Linked DNA regions of Drosophila melanogaster. The protein of the gene in region 1 purifies or fractionates together with the protein of each later gene. This does not show direct contact. Each region holds a gene or a part of one and is shown on either strand. Other genes may lie near its edges. The genes, in order: kst, rst, kirre and kibra.

Region 1 (4,748 bases):
CGTCTCCAGCTTAGCTGTTTTCTCTTTGAAATTGTTTGTTATTTTCTCTCGTTGATTTTAAAAAATTGTTTAGCATGCCAGGCACAAACAAAAGAATTTATATCACTGTGGGTTTCTACTTGTTGTGTTGTGTCAATCTGTATTCTTCTTTTCGACTGAGGCCAAAACTGAATTTTAATTTCCAGCCACTGATGAGGTAATTTTATGCGTAGAAATTTTTGACAACAAAGACCACCAATTCCCTAATTTGCCGAGCTATAGGTCTCATTATTTTCGGTTCAAAGCGGAGATGGCTGAAAAACTACGCTTTTATCAGACATATGCCATCACTCACGCAAAAGTAATTAAAATCGGTAACTACCTCGGATGTTATCTGAGTAGAAAAAGGTTGCCAAAAAAAGATGCCTAACTTCTTTTTGATATACTTTAAAGTATCATTTAATTCGGGATTTGCTAAATGATATGTGTGACTTAGCGTATGGGCCATAAAAATTAAGCATACAAAATGCTAAATGTTTATTGATTTATGCAAATTCTTACACAACTCCGAGGTTGTTGCACGCCTTGTTCATTAGCTAACCGTGTATGTGGAACACACAAGATCTAGAGAACACCGAAGAAGTTGAAAATCTATAAAAATCGTTTTCAAAGTGTTTGCGATGAGTGAAGTGTGGTGGTTTATAAATAGAAAGAGGCGCGGAATCCGAGTGTTCCTGCTCCCAGCTGCCGCGCATGTGCTGTGCTACCATGTTGTATCACAATTGAAGTAAACAGGATGCCCGGAATTCGAGCCTCGGTTCGCATTTGCCCCTGACTTTGCCTCTGCCGTCCTTTTCCGGCGACTTTAGTTGTATAAATAGTTTATGGCCAAAGACAGCTGTATGTGAGTTGGGGGATGCGTTCTATTTTGGGGATCAAGGAGGCACAGTTTTAATTGCTTTTCCTGCTAAGCCTAAAGTTATGCCGCACTCTGCATTTTCTAGGTTTTGTTTGCCACTCGATAATGATAAGCGTCGAACGTTATCGCGGTATGGTAAAGTTTATTGTCACACTGGTGTTGTTGGTTTTTTATTGTTTAGTTTTCACCTCTTTTTAATTGATTTTTCTATTTGCGAAAGCGAAGTGTTCTGTTTGCCAATTAGCCGCGAATGCCTTCCAGGTGACCTCAACGCCATTGGCGGCACATATGTATAGTAAATGATCTATTAGCGGAGTTATGACACCCGACCCGAGTAGACAGCAGATTATAACTCTTTGGCATGATGTCATTGGGAATGATCGAATTTGGCAGCTATTCTAAATGGCCCATTCATTAGTCTGCGGAATCTGATAGGGCGCCATAAATAACTTGATATTGGAAGTGCATTCCCCTCTATATATATGTATTTATTCCGAAAAACATATGTCCGAGGTATGCGGGATTTATGGACCGATAAGATAAGCCGACAGGGTCTATTGGCTGTTTGTCAAGGCAAGGATTTTCAGATACCTTAACCGTTTTCTCATACTGCTATCAGCTCGTGCGATAAAGGGAATTCACCATAGGCCAGTTGAAGCATTTTTGTTGCCACTCTTGGCATTTGGCTTTTAATTCATCTGATAAACAGAGCCAAGAGGGGGAGGAAGCTTTCCCCCACTCTACATTTTTGGGGCGTGCAAAATGTTGGGCACACATTGTTTTTAGTGACCAAACGGCGCGGGCTCTGCGAACATCTGACCGTAGGAACGAAACTTAGTGTCGAAATACAAAATAGAAATAAAAAACGAAAGATTAGCTTTAAGGAACGGCACTCGGTGCTGAAAGCCCGGATATCTTGAGAAACACCCTAGAAATCACTGATCAAAGGCCATGGAGTACAATAGTGTTCTGCGCTCGAATTTCTCGCGCAACGAGTATCGCCGATATATATCCTACGAACGCCAATCGTTGGGTAGGTTTCTGAACTTGAACTTTTCCCCTGGAAGCTCGCGATCATTATACAATCCCGAAACGAAAGTAACCTGCTCTTATCTATCTCAGTTGGGTGGAACTTCATATTTGGTTGATAAGAGCGCAAATATTTGGCAAATGAGTCAACGGCCTAGAAAAATGGTTTCGCTTTCTGCAGTTTCCGCTCCAATTTTGTTCACTTTTTAACATATTCTCTTGTCCAGTATTACGTAAAACGAACCGTTGATAAAAAAAAAGTAACAAAGTCGTGAAGCATTTTCCATAGGTATGAAGTAATTTTGGCAGTCGACAGATAAGCTCGCAGAACCACTATCGCTGGGCAGCGACTGTTTTGATTTCGATACGCTAGCTGGGGGTATATCTACTGGGTTGGAAAGTTGGTCACAGCTTGGTTTGTTTATAGTTGGTAGAGTTGAAATTATCTTACACTTGTTAGCAAAAGAAATTTAAAGATACCTTACTCTTTCATGAGGTAAAGTTACTTGAAATAAAGCAACAGATTGCTAATTTCTACATCTTAAAAATCTTTCACTATATTTTAAAATTCACTATCAAGCTTACTCAAAAAGGTGTTCACAATTTTGTTCAGCTAAGATCTAAATGTGAAACGCCAATCGACACATGGCTTATCTTAACGGGTCTAGAAAACAAAAGTACGTGATGAGGCGTTCGAATAAAAAGTGATTGTTGGTTCTTCGTTTGAAATACCCGTTGGTAATCTTTGACATTATGGGAACCCACTGATGGAATGATTTAAAATTAGGAATTACGTTTGACATAATCGAAAGACTACAAATAAACTGCCTTGGAATGTGGTTCTAACTTTAGCCAGGGATTTTTTTATAGAGGCAATTATGTTGGCGATAACTCGTTATCTCTAAATCAATAGGTTCGTACGTCACGGTCGTGCTTTCCCTATCTCTGCCACATACCTTTCGTATTTTTCCTCTATTTTCCCTATGCCCATTATTGATTTTGGTCTGTTGTCAGGTGGTTTGCCCATTTCTCTTTCCTGGAAAAAAATACAAAAAAAATGAAAAAAAATCAAAACAAACACTAAGCCTAAACGTTTCGCGTTGCATTTATATGACTTCGAACTAATCCGAGATTTTTGTTCCTCCTCCCTTCCCCCCACTTAGCATCACAATATGAGCCGGGAGGCTACTCCGCGCTGCAGACACCGACGCCTTCCAATCGCAACTCCGCCAACATGACCCAGCGGGACGGCATCATCAAGTTCGAGAACGAGCGGATCAAAACGCTGCAGGAGGAGCGCTTGCACATCCAGAAGAAGACATTCACAAAATGGATGAACTCGTTTCTGATCAAGGTGTGTAAACTACTTGAGTCACTCATCACTCCCAATACTTGTAATTTAATTACTATAAAGTACAAATGAAAGAAATGCTTTGTTTTGCTAAGCACATAAAGTTTTCATTGTTTAAATACTATAATTTCTCGATCAAAGTGATGTATTCAAATGAAAGCGCCATATGTATATGACATTCGAAATTATACATTCACTTGAAATTTTGATTGGAAGAAACTTTTATGGCCCCACCAATTTATGAATGCAACTCACATTTGGGCTTATCGTCTTCTTTGTAGGCCAAAATGGAGGTCGAAGACCTATTCACAGACCTGGCCGATGGCATCAAGCTGCTGAAGCTGCTGGAGATCATATCGTCGGAGAAACTGGGCAAGCCGAACAGCGGACGCATGCGCGTCCATAAAATCGAAAATGTCAACAAGAGTCTGGCATTCTTGCACACCAAGGTGAGATATGCCACATAAATGGCGGCGAGTGAAGGGAGTGAAGGCGTTGCAGTTGCTGGAAGACCAAAGACCGAAGACTGAAGACTGGAGAGTGTAAAGCTCTCTACGCATTTGTAGAAAGTGCAAGTCGCGCCTGCGCAGCTGCGCGTGGCCATTGCGTGCTTTGTTTGCCATATGAGGTGCACGGATCTGGCTGTTGGAGTCGGGATTTCGGATCTCGGGGAAGCGGGAAGTGTGAGGCGACGTCAAGACATGGCGAAAAAGTATATATTTAATTACCTAGCCTGGGCACCGCGTTTTCTTGGCAATATCTGAAATATTTGCATACTTTCTAATGCATTTTTTCCTTGACTTCACTTCACTTTGTTGCGCTTGGCACATTTTCCACTGCCGCGCTCATACTATACATGTGTACTTTCTTTGCACCTCTCGTGCGCATTTGATTTTAATTGAGCAAAGTGGGAGCTTAGCGTGCGACATAGTTTCGAATCTTCTGGCTAGTCAGGTGCCTCTGGTCTAATCTAATTAGAAGCAATTAAAACGCATCAAATTGTCCCACTGTCCAACTAATTCACTTTGTTTCTTAAGCGGCGAAGCAGTGAAAGTTTTCGGTTTTACTTTTCACCATTTCATTTCATTCCATTTCGTATTTCATTTGTTTTTCGGGCTTGTCTTTTGTGTGTGACACGGGTATTGAGTGCATTTTAATTGGTGTTTAGGCTTGAAAGAAGCCCGAGCGAAAGATTTACGCACAAGCGAGCATTCGATGGAGGATCCCTTGGGGACTCATTGAAGCGTTTAGCGGAGCACGACTCTTGGAATTTCCAGTCGCCATTAGGAGAACCAAAAGGCGTAGCTCCCTACTAAACATTAATGTACCAGAATAACTCGGAACGAGTCTATTAAAGCAAACGGTTTGTCGGGGAATAGGAATAAAGTTAGCTTACTGCCTTCTTATGAACTATTAAAAACGATAATCTGCCATACATAAATTATAAATGTATATATAATTTATGATTTT
Region 2 (4,892 bases), on another chromosome or scaffold:
TTAAAAATGCCGCCTCTCATAGATTTTCATTTTCCATTTCCATTTTGCCCCCACCCCAGAAAGTGGAGTGCCATGTTTTGAGGTCAGAACCCCCCCCCCTTATAGCCTCCTCCTAATGATGATGGCTTGACAAATATTTATTGCTTAAGCATTTGAGTGCAAATATTTTAATTAGTCTGGCGACAAGACAACAGATCTGGAAATGGAAAGTATAGATGGAACTGGATCTGGGATTCGGACTTCTGGACTTCTGGATTCTGGGCCCCATTTCTCAACGCTGATGAGGCTTAATGAACTGCAAAGCGGCCCTCAATTGTCTTCAATTAACCAAATTAACCAAGGGATAAATTGCTTGCCTTTCGAATGCCCTCGTCTGCATTTCTTTTTAGAGATGAGATGAGAAATTAGCTGGCAGATGCAAATACCAGGCAATAAGTCTTTTCTTATTGTACCTAAATGATATAAAATACCAATTATTCATTAAACGAAGCACTTTCTTAAACAAAAAAAAAAAACAGGCAAAACGGATGAGCGCAGCAGTCAAATCGGTGGAACCGATACGGCAGAAACTGTCAAAAAGCCTGACAGCTCCGCTCTCAAGGTAATCCATCCAGCGCGGTGGGGCAAAAGGGGGTGACGAACATAATTTGTGGCATGCAAAGAACTAACAAAGCGACAGGCAGGCGAAAAAAAAAAAACAAAAAAAATGCAAAATCGCAGGGCGAAATTGAAAAGGAAAAATAAGTTTCGACATGCTGACGAGGACGCGTCAAAACGATCCAACAAATGCGGCCTCGCCAATCGATAACACAGCAACAAAAAGTGCAGGAGAAATACAGGCGGCAGCAACAACTTGCGACATGAGCATGTTGCACTTCCTGCCACGCCTACCGAACGCCTCTTTTGCCATCCTTTTCCCACACTCCCCAATTTCCTCCTGTCGATTGTTTCAGACGTTTTTAGCAATTTGCAATGCCAGCAAATTGGGCCAAATTATAAAATCCAAAAGCTACACACACGTTCCCAAATACACTTTAAAAATATTTTTTCTTTTTGTTTTCAAACCAAAAAACTTAATAACGTTATTCAAAATGAATTTATAGGAGCTTCAATCAAGATAAATAAGTATGAAAATAAGTTAATTTCAATTAAAAAAAAAAAGAACAAATACTTTTTCTGGTCAAAGACTAACTTTTTTTGAGACTAGTTTTCTTAATCGTGCTTTAGCAAATCTCCCAGCCAATCAATATTTTTCCGGTGTTTATCATGCGACATATATGAACCCAGAGGATGGAGCAGAGTAAGTAAAAGGTTAGCTTGCCAAAGAAGATTGAAACTTTGCTTGCTTTTTTAATGACAAGGGACAGGTGCGTGAGTCTGAAGATACGCTTGTATATGCATTTGCAGATGTTTGAGTATCTGTGTGCAATGTATCGATGTATTGGTAAAGCTTCTGGGCCTTCAGCTTCTTTAGCTCGCATTTCTGTTCTTTAACACCACAGCCGCTAGCAACATTTTCTTCGCTTACAGCTGGGGGGAGTTACACAGAGAAAAATTTTATGAGTAATAAATAAATTTCTATTGGATTTGGAATAATTGATTTATGATTTTTGAATGTGTCAATAAGAGAGTCGAATTACTGGCATTTCACTTAATCAATGACAAAAGGAATTAAATGTATTTGCAAATTTATTTACTTAAAACCAAATGAATTAATCCATAAATGTCAGAAATAAACCATTGAAATAGGTATACCATTCGAATGTTATAAATAAATATACGCATTAAAGAATTACACCAAAGCGCACATTTAATATACATTGCCTATTATGTAGATTAAAACTTGAAGTTGAATGTTATACTCATTAAAGTTTATCGTTTGCCGTAAATTATTCAGAATGATTTTAGCATTGTTTAGCATATATTCAAGTAGATTTTTTGTTTGTGTACATACTTGTATACGAACAAAAAATCATTCTATACATTTAATATTAATTTTTCAACTTAAGTGCTTACGAAATGCCTAATCGTTGACTAGCTTTGTACATTTTGTTTTTCAAAGTTATTGCTTTAAATCATAAATCATGCAAAACCAAGGAAAGAAGAGATCGAATCAGTTAAGAAGAGCACTTTTTTCTATAGATGCTCAGAGGGATGGAATGGTCAGAAGAAGCTAATTAGGTGTCCAAGGTCTGGAGTTGAAGATCTATTATTGTAGAGGGGAAAGTATATCTGTGATATACAACTTAACATAGATTTTGTATAATAAACCTCATTTTCAGATTGATAAGATCTAAACGTTATTCGAAAGATGGTAATTTAATTTATTTTATATTTTATTACATTTTAATATTTTCAGCAACTAGTACTTGCCATTGGGCATTTCATTAGGCAGAAAGGAAAATATAAATTTTGCTTTAACAAAGTCTACTTACAACCAAAAATCATGCTTCCATTTTCAATTAAAAACACATATATTTTCTTCGAAAAAAAAAAAAATACACTCAAGCAAACTCGAAATCCAAATGCCAAAGTGGCCAAAAGCGAAACTTTTGAGGGGCCAAAAGAGGCGGAGACTTGGCCAGTAACAGTATATTATAAACAAAATCAAACGAAAAGGTCAAAGTGAGGGAGCAGCTGTTGCAGTTGGCGCATGAAAAAAGCCAAAAGCACAGGAGTTTTCTTTAGATTTTACTGATGAACTTTTTTACTCACACTGTTTGTTTGTAATCAATTTAAACAATTTCGGCTCCTTAGTCCTCTTATATGCATATATATTTTTAACTGACTCTGACCGGCCACTGGCACTAATCCATAATTGTTGGGTTGACAATTTTCAGCTTGTTTGGTTTTTCGGGCTTTGTTTTTATGATAGCCTTGTTTATTCCATTTTAAGCACACACTTTTCCACTGGTAATCCACACCAAAATGAAATTTTTTGGCTTGCGTTTGCACCAAAAAAAAAATTGACGTTTAGTTATATATTTCGTTTTAATTATCTGAGATTTACTGAGAGTTTTCTCGGGCGAATATGCGATGCGAGTTCTCGTCTTCGGGGTCTCGAAAAGTATCTGTGAGATACCAGCTATCGAAAGTACGGAGTTTCCGCCGCTACGAAGCGAACGGTACGAGCGAACGGAACGAAGTGCGAACTCGATCCAAAAATCCGACTTCTTCGGCCGGCGCGGCTTGTCTTCAAACAAAACAAAGCGACGCAACATGTTCGATGATGTTGCAAGTGGTGTTTCAGGCTCTAACAGCATGCAACAGGGCTAACAGCGCGGCTCGATGCAACCTCTGTTCTATGTTGTTATTCATTTGGATTATGTTTGGCAGCCAATGTTTTTTTAAATTCCCATATATATGGGATATATGTTTTCATATCATATATTTACTATAAGTTTTCAGATGCAATGTATAAATTATATTAAAAAATATTATAAATTATTTATACGAATCAATTTAGTGTTCGCTATACATATCTTTTTTGTTTCTGTGCACGCAAATTTGGGGATATTGCCAGCCGATGTGCCACGATTTTTGGCCATCTGTCTTTTGGCCTTAATTGCACTCTGATTTGCTGTTAGCAGCGCCACCTTCCGCCAAAAGTGTGGACCACCAACTGTTGCCGGAGAAGATAAAAAACAAAAAAAAAAAGATCACATAAAGTATAAACCCTTTAAACACTGCAGATTGAGATAAAGTAGGAGAATTGGCCGTCAAGAGGTCAATGCTGTCGGGACAGCAGCTGTTCACCAATCTCTCCTCCTTCTTCGCACCCACAATTCTTCCCGTTTTGGTAGAAATCTGCAGTCTTTCTTCCGATTGTGGAATGCCAGAAGGGCTGTGAAGAGCGACATATGGTCCTCTACAGAGCAATTTGAGTAAAAAGTCCAAATCTGTGGCTTGACAAAACGGCGGAAATCCCATGGGAACCACACAGAGAAGTGTTTAACATGATTTTCAAAAAGAAGCTATTAATTTATCATTAAATTAGCTTAATTTTTACATTAAGCAGCCCTTTTTTGAAGTGCCAACATTCCTGCGCTTTTTGCTGCATGCATAATTTTAGTTGGCTTAAGAACATTTCAAATGTCACACTTGTAGTAAAGCCAAGCTCAGCTGAAAACTCAAACACTGTGGGAGCCATTTTACTAGGTGCGACTTGTTAATCAATCGACTGCATGATGAGTTGATTCTAAGTTTTCCCATAATTGAATCGATACACAAGCTGTGCGCTCCACGAGAGATAGGGAGATACAAAAGATACAAAGATACTACCAGCGATGAAGATGGACTGTTGGATGGGAAGATTTCGGCACTGGAGACATGCAAGACCAAAATAAACAAGTTTCGGAAGGGAAATTTATGGCACGATTGCTGCGAACGCAATTTAAACTACGCGTGTGAGGGAGGCACCGCCGGAAAATCGGAAAATTCGGAGCGAGTGATGAAGTGTCGGCTCTCTTCCAATTTTCCGCTCTCTCTTCGCGCCTCTTTCCACGCATTGCTTGCCTTTTCGAGGGGGGATTTTCCAAGCACCGCTGATTTTCTTCGGCTCCCCAAGTAATTGTCATGTAATTTATGGCCGCCGTATGGGAATATCAATGCATTGCGCTCTAAATTTACACAAAGACGAAAGATAAGGCGAACGTTGTTGCATAGTCAGGGCATTTCCTCTACATATGCGTAGTCCAAAATTGTTTATAAACACCCCAACAAACTATAACAAAAAGCCTTTCTCGATAAGAAGGTTCATAGCCAGATCCCATAAATTCCATTCGCAAGATAGGATTTCTGTTGCAGCATTTTGAAACACTATATTACCAATAAAATCGAAATGCATGCACAAGTTTTGTCCTTAAATATTTCAGATAGCTCCCCTATCACGC
Region 3 (4,906 bases), on another chromosome or scaffold:
AATTTTTTTCTTTTTTGTGTTTGTGTGTGTGTGCAACAAAAGAGCGAGTAAGAGAGCAAAGAGCCGCCAATAAATGGCAAATATGTGATAGGTGATAATCTGTGTTTAGGCCTTTCTGACTGTCCCTCTCTCTCTCTCTCTCTCTCTCCATGACTTTCCACCCCGCCCTGTCGCTTTCCGAAGGGCAGACGGTAAATATTAGGCGGCTCTTATCAGAAACTTGTGCGCTGATAAGCTTTGATAGCAGGTTTCGCTCTCTCCTGCGCTCTCAATCAAATTTTCCCATTCGCGAACAGCTGTTGGAGGCAACGGCAACAACAAACCAGGAACAAAGCTCAGAAGCTGCTGTAAAGGATATAAAGTGGACATTTTGGAGTACTGGAAAGGAATTCAAGGAATTGGCATAAATTTGGCATATAATTGGCATAATTCAAACCAAAGGCAGTCCAAGTTGCAGAAATGGGTAAAGATCGACTGCCCGAGCTTTTGCAGGTAAGAAAATATTAGAAACGTGGGTGGTTGGTTGGGAGGTTGGGATGAGGTAACTGCTAATTAGTTTGAAGCACAGTGGTTTGGCATCACTCAAACCGCAATACGAATAAAATCTACTTAACACGATGAAATACATTTGGTGGTATTTGCCAGGAAAAGGATTCCACTTTTCTCGGTAAAAAGTAATCCTAATCAAAGTTTTTTTTTTTTTTGCGGCACGTTGAAACACATTCTGACCAAGGTGCTGCCACCTTCTTTACAATTGGCCCAATCTCTCACATTTCTGTTGGCGCTTTTGGCACTATTTCGACTTGTGAGCCAAGGGGGTTTGGTGGGTGTTCGCTATGGCATTTATCAGATCGGCCAGAGATAACGACGATAATGTGGCCACACATCACACTTACGGGGCAACCCCGCGTTTCCGCCGACAAACTTTTAGCACCAAGTGAATTTCAGTACCGAAGTCATTTTTATAGTTCATTTACACCGCGCCAGATTGTGAACACACAAACGTAAATAAACTCAACCAAAGTTGTTAGTTTCAATTTAGTTTTTTCTCAGTTTTTCCCTGCAGTTCGTTAGGATCGCATGGACCTATTTTATTTTTATTTATTTATTTTTTTTTCTTCTCATTTTTGCTGTACTAATTCCAGCGCTCATTGAGCACGAACTCGTCGAACTCGTCGTCGAACGGTTCACTGCTTTTGAACGTGTACAGTGGAACCACGGAGTTCATCATTGGCAACACCGGCGGTAACAATAATAGCTACAGTGTCGTTAGCCAAAACTCTCACAGCTGCAGCAACAATAACAGCAGCACCGAACCCAAGGATCGGTCCAGTTCAAAGATGACGCAGTATGGCTCGAATGTGGATGACATACTCAATCCGGTGAGTTTAAGGATCGAAGTGTATACAAAACACAACTTCAGAATTCATACAAGTTTTTACTATTATTGAGTATTGAAATAGTTAATAGAAGAAACTTTAACTCCTAAGATAGCTATCTTGAAAGTTATAAATACTTAGCGAAGCAAGAACATACAACAGAAAGCAGCTAATATCTAGCATAGTTAAACGTTTCCCCTCAATGGAAATAAAAGATCAGAGAGCCGGAGAGAGGGAAACCCTTTTTTTCTTTTTTATGGCTTACCCACACATGTGTGCACTTATGAATCAGCTGTATTACTCAATCGCTGCCGGCGTAGCGCGAAAACTCGTGATAAGTCCAGAAAAAAAAAAAAACATTTTCTCATTAAATACGTTTTTTATTGTGGTTAAGAGAGCGGACGAAGAGAAGGCAAGTAGTCGCCATGTAAACGTAAACAACGGTAGACAACTCTTGCAAAGCAAAAAAGCAATACAAGCACTGCTTCCTCCTGAGCAAGGAAATGTACTGGAAATGCAATGGAAGTGAATATACGATTTTAATAGATTTTTACGGTATCCTTCCTTTTCAGTACACGGAGATTCGCCAACAACTCGCACAGATAGCCGCCAACTTGGAGACGATGAACCGCATGGCCCAAACTGTCAATCTGCGAACTTTCAACGGTAAGAATTTGAATCTAAAGTTGTGAATACTTCCACTGCATCACGGTCTAAATCCAATTCGCACAGAGAACGAGATGGATGAGCTTCACAACAAAAACCTGAGGCTGGGCAATCAGCTAATGACGCGATTCAACGACTTCAAGGCGAATCTGCCGGCGGAAAACGATTACAGCTTGGAGGCAAGGATGAAAAGAACCCTTTTCTATGGACTCCACCAGACTTTCATCAATCTGTGGCACAAAAACGAACTATTCCTGCAGAACTACGAGACCAAGGTCAAAAAGAATCTGAGACTGCATACAAAAATCAGTAAGTGTGATACAAAATGGACGAGTCTGATTAAATGCTTTGCAACTATTACATTATTTTGTTTAAGAACTTCGTTACAATCTACTTTTTAGTTAATTCTGAAGCCAGCGAACAAGAAATCGAGTTACTCATCGAGAACAAGACAACCAAACTCTTTGTGGATAATGTGAGTAAAGAAAGAATTATACAAACAACTAAGTCTTCTGTCTGATATGATTCCTTATCAAAGGTTTCATAAACATATATATTTTAATATGTTCGGCATTTAGTATGTAGTTTAAATGACATTTTATACAATCTAGGACTATTAGCTACTAAATATTACTCAGTAGAGCGCAACTCACCTCGATGTTGTATTCATTTTTCATTTCATTTGACTTTATCGCATCTATAATTTGCGAGACGATCATTTTCATATCACTTTAAGTAAAGCTTTACACAGAAAAAAAAAAAATTTGGGATTTTAATAGCTAATAGGATATAATCACTTTCGCAACTTTTTCAACACTGGAACACCATAAAAAAAATGAAAAAAAAAACACTGAAGCTCATTTGGTGTAACACCCACACACCTTCATACATACATACATATGTATGAAATTATTTTGCTCAAACGCAAAATTACCGCGAATTTAGGAAAAAAAATGCTTCGTATCACAATGCCTATACTCGCATTTACTCGAGTAACAGCACTAAACAACGGTAAATTCAATAAACTTAATTTCGCGGTGCGCAGTTAAAAAACACGTGCGTATGTCGATGCTCACGAAGAAGAAGGAAAGAGGAAGTTTAAACAGGGAATGATCAAGGGCCAACGGTAAATCAAACTCATACATACTCTCTCTGTTTCCCGCTGTTGTATTAACATCATCTATTAGTTAATGAGGCTGTTAAATAAGGCATTATGTTCTGCAATACAGATTATCACATACGTTGATTAATTATATTGGTTGAGTGGTTAGGCTATACATTTTTATATTGAATAGAATATATTTTCAAACTCAGTGGTTCACCATCAAAAAATATAAAAAAAGAAGTGGAAGCTAATTTACCGCAACACACACATTACATTACATACATGTGTAAATAGATGTTAGCACACACATTCTATACATACAAACATATTTCGCGCGCCATTGAAAACGCAAAATTACAGCGAATTTAGGAAGAAAAACGCGCAAATGCTTCGCATCACAATGCGCATACTCGCATTTACTCAAGTAACACTTTTCACCATCTAAAGATCGTTGAATTCAATAAACTTTATTTCGCGGCGCGCAGTTAAAAAACACGTGCGTATGTCGATGCTCGGGAAGAAGAAGGAATGAGGAAGATTTAAACAGGGAATGATCAAGGGCCAACGGTAAATCAAACTCATATGCACTCTCTCTGTTTGCCGCTGTTGTTTTAACATCATCTATTAGTTAATGAGGATGTTAAATAAAGCATTATGTTCTGCAATACAGATTATCACGTACATAGATTAATTACATTAGCCGTATAGCTAAGCTATACATATTTATATATATAATAGAAACTCAGTGGTTCACCATAAAAAAAAAGTGGAAGCTTATTTAGCGCAACACACACATTGTGTATGTTCATACATACATATGTAAATGCGGATTTTAGCGCGCACATTCTATACACACAAACATATTTCGCGCGCCATTGAAAACGCCAAATTACCGCGAACTTAGAAAGAAAAAGCGCGCAAATGCTTCGTATCACAATGCCGATACTTACATTTACATCTAAACCATGTTAAATACAACAAACCTCATTTCGCGACGCACAATTAAAAATCACGTGCGTATTTGGATGTGGCTGAGAAAAAGGGAAGAGGAAGACTTGAAGAGAAAACGATCAAGGACCAACGGTAAATCAATAAAATAAGATCTTCACCCGCCCTTTCTAACATTCTCTGTTAATTAACCTTCAATTTAACACAAAATGTAAAGATCAAAAGGTATTTGTATTGCAAATAGTAAATAAATGTAGACATTTGCTTAATCTTTATAATAACAATTTTTGTATTTTTAGTTTCTGCAGGAAACGGAAAAGGAGCGGCAGACACTGCGCGAAATGATGGATCGATTCAACGAGCTGCGCCGCCTGGAGAAGTCCATCGAGGAGGTGCACGCCCTGTTCATGCGCATCCAGACCCTGGTAATGGAGCAGAGCGAGGTGATCCAGCGGGTGGAGTTTCACGCCCAGCAGGCCACGCTCCACGTGGACAAGGGCGCCGACGAGCTGGACCAGGCGGAGCAGCACCAGAAGAAGGCGCGCAAGGTGGGCACACTGCGAATCCCCGAGAGCGTTGGGTTCTAAAAGGCATTTTCCCTTGTATTTGCAGAAAAAGATAATGCTCATCGTGATACTCGCAGCCGTGTTGCTAGTATTACTCCTTGTTGGTATTTATTTGTGATGCACGCGAGAAACTTTATTTTTTTGGCCTATTTTTAAAATTTATACGTAAGAAAATAAACTTTAAAACCTCAAGAAGAATTTTTGCAATTAATCAACAGGTAAAGGAAATCAATAAAAGCTTA
Region 4 (4,802 bases), on another chromosome or scaffold:
TGGCCGGTTGCATCCTGTTCATTGGACTGACCATCTTCGATCTGCAGTTCCTGCGCCTCCACGCCTCCCTGAGCGACCAGGTGCTGGTGGTCTGCCTGCTGGTCTGCTTCTGTCTGTGCATGCTGATGTCCGCCATATACCACATCTTCTCCTGCAAATCGGAGGAGCACTACGAGCTCTTTCTGTCCGTTGACTTCCTGGGCATTTCGCTGTCGCTGGTGGCCATCTATATCAGTGGCATGTACTATGCCTTCTGGTGCCACACCTTCCTGCGCACCCTGTACTCCACGATTGCACTGGGCATGTTCGCACTGGCCATTGCCGTGCAGATACCCCGTTTGAATGTGTCCATGAACGGCAAGGTGGCGGTGCTGCTACTCTGGTCTGCCTATGGAATCATACCTCTGGGCCACTGGGCGGTGGCCATGGGCGGTCTGGAGAACGAGCTAGTCAGGGTAGGCATCAGTTGGAAATTTATGGAATCTTGTCATTTGCTAATCCATCAATCATTACCATTTGCAGCTGATGGTGCCCCGCATCGTGCTCATGTACTTGCTCTGCCTCGTCGCCTTCGTTTTCTATGCGGCCAAGATTCCGGAGCGCTGGTTCACCGGCAAGGTGGACTTCGTTGGGCATTCGCACAACTGGTGGCACCTGATCATCGTGGCCGCCTTCTATCACTGGCACAACACCGGACTGGTCTATGCCGAGTATCGCCTGAATAACGGATGCACTGCACCAGTTCTCTCCTAGAACTTGAAGATCCGAACATCTGAGTTAAGATCCGAAGATCCGAGGAGCGGAGATGGAATCCGGGACTCTAGTAGACTAAAGCTTAGTGTAAATAGTTTATGGGGCGCTCTTTATCCGCTAATAACTAATATTTAGTTGTAGTTGTTGACCGATATGATTAATTTATGTTTAATTTACCAATTAGTTAGGGTTTCGTGTTAGACAATCCAGATCCAGATAGTTGGCATCGCATAAGCGGCAAAAAGGTTTCTCTCTTTATATCCTAATTGATTTCCTTTAATATATACAATTAAACAATGTCAATGAAATTGCATGTGTCTTGAGCTGAAGCTGTGTTAGTCTTGTTGACTCAATTTTTACAATTCATAAAATGCAAATACAATATCAAACGTACAAAGCAAGCGAAATTGTGGTTTTATTGAAGTTATGTTTCGGAAACATAATTTATTTTTCTATCTATGGTTGGGATACATATTGATTTCGAAATGCGTAACTCAGTTTACAGTCTTTTTTTTTAAATTTTTTCTTTTTCTGTTTTTAAAATGTAACGGAAATGTTAGGATTAAGATAACAGTAATTGTTAACAGAGCGAGTTAACATGATCTATCGGAACTGGCTTTGATTAACATCGCTTGAAGAACCGAACTAGTTCCTGTTACCAAGCCGATCTTTGAACGTACAACTCCTATTTTCTTCCCTCAACAATTACACCTATGCTTGGGGACTACACAAGCCAAATAACAATAAATACTTTTCGTGCATGATTGTTAAATATCGCATCTCTGCAACCGCGTCAATACAGCCTATAATATCGATATCAACCAATACATCGAATAACATCGCCGCGAGTGTATCGATATGCAATGCGATGTTTTCTGCTACACCACTAGCAGCGAATGTTACCAAAACAAATTCCGAATCCGAATCGGACGGTCATCAAGCGCGCTACTCGTGTTTTTTGCTGCTCCCCCAAGGAATTCCGGAACCGAAGAGATCGGCGACGGCGCGAACTCACTAAACTGAAGTACATATTTTTTTGTGAACACCAAGTGGATGGTTGGATTATCGTCGTTAATTAGTTTCAATTAGGCGAAAATAAGAAAATAAGTAAAGGAGTTCAAACGCTTGCAACAACAAGAAATGAAAAGAAGCAGCACCAACTGTGAGCAGTGATCGTGTGCGCTTGTGTTCGTCCCCCATATGTGTGCGTGTGTTTGAGCTGGAATGGAATGCAGTTACGAAAAAAGTAAATAAATAATTGAGAGCGCGCCCGCGCTCTCCCGCTCTCTCTCCCCTGCGCGCGTGTGTATTCGAGTTGGCTCGGTGTGTGCCTCTACGCCCGTCACCGTGTGGCCGTGTTGTGTGTGTGTGTGTGCGGGTCGGTCTCCATTATCGCCGGAGCAAAAGAAACGGAATTGAAATGTCTTTGCTAATGTAAACAGCGCAAAGAGAAACCCCCCGAAAAAAGAAGCAAACGTAGATAGCAATAGCGAAAAGAAAGAAAAGGCGCGCGTCGGGTGAAAAATCCAGCAACAACGACGTTTTCTCAGACTAACCAAAGTACACGGCGAGAAACAAAGTTAAAATGCCGAATCTGCAACAAACCGCATCGCAATCGCAGCATCATCTGCATCCCCACCACCTGCGACCCCAACAGCAGCAACAGCAACATCATCATCATCATCAACAACAGCAACAACAACAACACACGCATCATCAGCAGCAGCAACAACACCACAGCGACTTCCCACTTCCCGATGGCTGGGATATCGCCAAGGATTTCGATGGCAAGACCTATTACATAGATCATATCAACAAGAAGACCACCTGGCTGGATCCCAGAGATTGGTAAGTGTTCCGGAAAGGGTCAATTAAAGAAACGAAATTGAAACAAGGGCGATCTGAAATATAATTATAAGATATTTGCATTTGGAAAGTTAGTTTAAACTTATTAAAACTACTAGAACAATTATCAGAAATGAGGCATACATAACGAATGACCAAACCAACAGGTTGTGTTTTAAATAAGTTATAGATGCTTTAACATCGCAAACTATCAAGAGTGCTTATAAACCCCAATTGCTGCTTAATGGCTAATAAGTGAAGCAGATAACTCATTGAGAATCAAATTAAAATAGAATAAAATTCTTGGCAAGTTGTTAGTGGCTTAAGAAGGCATAAAACGCAGGTGAGAGATCAGCAGTTCACTCATTCAGGAAGCTCCGGCAAACGAGCTAAAAAAAAAACCCATATAAATTCCGATTCCGAAGCGCTCTTGAACCGGAAAGAAAAGGTGCGTGCTGCAGCTGTGTGTGTAAAGGAATGCGATCGGTGGAGGCGAAATGAAGCAAAAAAAAAAAAGAAAAATAAAAGGAAAATAAAATAAAGAGGCAGCAGCAAAATAAATTACATATTTTAAACAAGACAGCAGCGGCAGCAGGCAAAACAAAACGCAACGGAACGGGGGAAAAACTTGGAGTAAACATTCCGATGCGATGATTAAGACTCCGAATATAACTGAACTGAACAGAGAGTGGCAACAAACAAAAAATGGATTGTAAAGCCAGGGAAATACAACAACAAAAATTCGAGTGAGAGAGAGCAAAAGTTAAATAAAGCTCGGCGAATGATCTGTAAAATAAAAGGAAAACAAAACCAACAAACTCATACGTAATGAGTGCGAGAGAGCCAAAGGAGAGCGAGCGAGAGCGCTGGCGATCAGGCCATGTATCTCATAGATACATTTTAGTTTGCCGTTCGCTCACATTTTTTGTCTTCCATCTCGCTCGCGCCCCTCGCTGCCGCCCCACTCGCCATCTCTGTCTGTTGCTTTGCCCATAAACAATTGCAAAATGTACGTAGGAATTTTTGCAGTTTCGAAATAATTGATTTCTGAAATTCTTCGCCCTCTCTTTCGCTGAGTTCAATTTTTCGCTTTTCACAGATAGAGAAATGTGTAGTGTTAGATGGATTTTGTATCTTCAATTGCTCGATAGCAAATGCTTATTGCCTTTCTGCAGTTGTACAGCATTTTCATTGACATTAGACACACTCTATAATTTCAATATCACGTTGCAAATGATTTATTAAGCCATCAAAGCTTGAATATTAATTTTTTCCAGTGCATTTCTATCTGTGTACGCCTTATTGTTTCAGTTCGTTTGGTGCTGTGTGCGCTTCACGCTTTCAATTAACACAAACATTCCCTTTGTTTGTTTCAAATCGCATGGACATTGTTGAAAATGTTTCACTGAATTAAGCGTTGTGGAATTTCAGCTCTTCCGCCCGCCCGCCTTTGAAATTGAAACGAAACATCTGCGCATTTGCTAGGGTTATGCATCAAGTAGATTATAAATGCACACATGTCGTTCAAATGTCTGCCAGTGGGCACAAAAAGTCAGCGATCTATGAGCGTTACGTTCCGATTTCGGGGTTATAGAAATTTAAAGCTTAAATGACCTTAGGGGATTTACTTACTATTTGAAAAACCAATCAGATTATGAAGAGGGATACCATAGAATATAAGAAATAAAAACAAGAGTAAATGTTTTATTGGTATTTTCTGTATACATCTGCAAAGTATGTCTTCGAATTTAACTAACTATTCCATATTTTTCCAAAATAGTTTTACCATTTCTATTGACCAAACAAAACTATTTAATGCTGTATACACCCCTTATTGGTATTTTGCCCAGTCGCGCATATTTTGTATCCAAATCATATACGCTTTTTGGTCCCCTCTTCGGCTGTCTATCGATCCCCCGCATCCAACTTGCTATTGCTATTGAATTTTCAAAATTGCTGCCGGTAGCGCGCAAAAATTCCAATAAACCATAAATAAATTTCTACAATAAAGCGAAGCGAGCCAGGCCTCGGGCAACCTTTAAAGGCCTCGCCACGTTTCGAGCACAGCCAACAGAAATCACAGAAAAAATAAATATCTATTCCAATATGAGCATGCAAGGTCGAATTATCGATACCCTTGAAATATTTTACCGATAATTGCTTGGGCCGGCTTTGACGCAGGTTTTTCTAAGGTTTTCTAAAAT

Evidence for each region.
Region 2: the proteins of kst (region 1) and rst purify together in Drosophila melanogaster (affinity purification with western blotting, with the first as the bait; one study listed by BioGRID). This does not show direct contact.
Region 3: the proteins of kst (region 1) and kirre purify together in Drosophila melanogaster (affinity purification with western blotting, with the first as the bait; one study listed by BioGRID). This does not show direct contact.
Region 4: the proteins of kst (region 1) and kibra purify together in Drosophila melanogaster (affinity purification with western blotting, with the first as the bait; one study listed by BioGRID). This does not show direct contact.

The regions. Positions count from the first base shown.
Region 1 is NT_037436.4:3,348,406-3,353,153, forward strand, and holds the start of kst (karst), read left to right. Parts: upstream 1-1,702; 5' UTR 1,703-1,849; coding exon 1,850-1,931; intron 1,932-3,090; coding exon 3,091-3,281; intron 3,282-3,559; coding exon 3,560-3,727; intron 3,728-4,748.
Region 2 is NC_004354.4:2,970,686-2,975,577, forward strand, and holds the start of rst (roughest), read right to left. Parts: upstream 3,150-4,892; 5' UTR 2,716-3,149; intron 1-2,715. UniProt on the Drosophila melanogaster protein: Required for correct axonal pathway formation in the optic lobe and for programmed cell death in the developing retina.
Region 3 is NC_004354.4:2,739,037-2,743,942, reverse strand, and holds the start of kirre (kin of irre), read right to left. Parts: upstream 3,139-4,906; 5' UTR 2,939-3,138; intron 2,787-2,938; 5' UTR 2,699-2,786; intron 2,521-2,698; coding exon of another isoform or gene 2,447-2,520; intron 2,355-2,446; coding exon of another isoform or gene 2,112-2,354; intron 2,046-2,111; coding exon of another isoform or gene 1,952-2,045; intron 1,383-1,951; coding exon of another isoform or gene 1,146-1,382; intron 1,027-1,145; exon of another isoform or gene 985-1,026; intron 493-984; coding exon of another isoform or gene 460-492; exon of another isoform or gene 1-459. Other genes in the region: Syx4 (syntaxin 4), read left to right, coding at 460-492, 1,146-1,382, 1,952-2,045, 2,112-2,354, 2,447-2,520, 4,398-4,646, 4,711-4,782.
Region 4 is NT_033777.3:14,721,110-14,725,911, reverse strand, and holds the start of kibra (kibra), read left to right. Parts: upstream 1-1,650; 5' UTR 1,651-2,338; coding exon 2,339-2,601; intron 2,602-4,802. Other genes in the region: CG7530 (uncharacterized protein), read left to right, coding at 1-455, 523-753. UniProt on the Drosophila melanogaster protein: Regulator of the Hippo/SWH (Sav/Wts/Hpo) signaling pathway, a signaling pathway that plays a pivotal role in organ size control and tumor suppression by restricting proliferation and promoting apoptosis.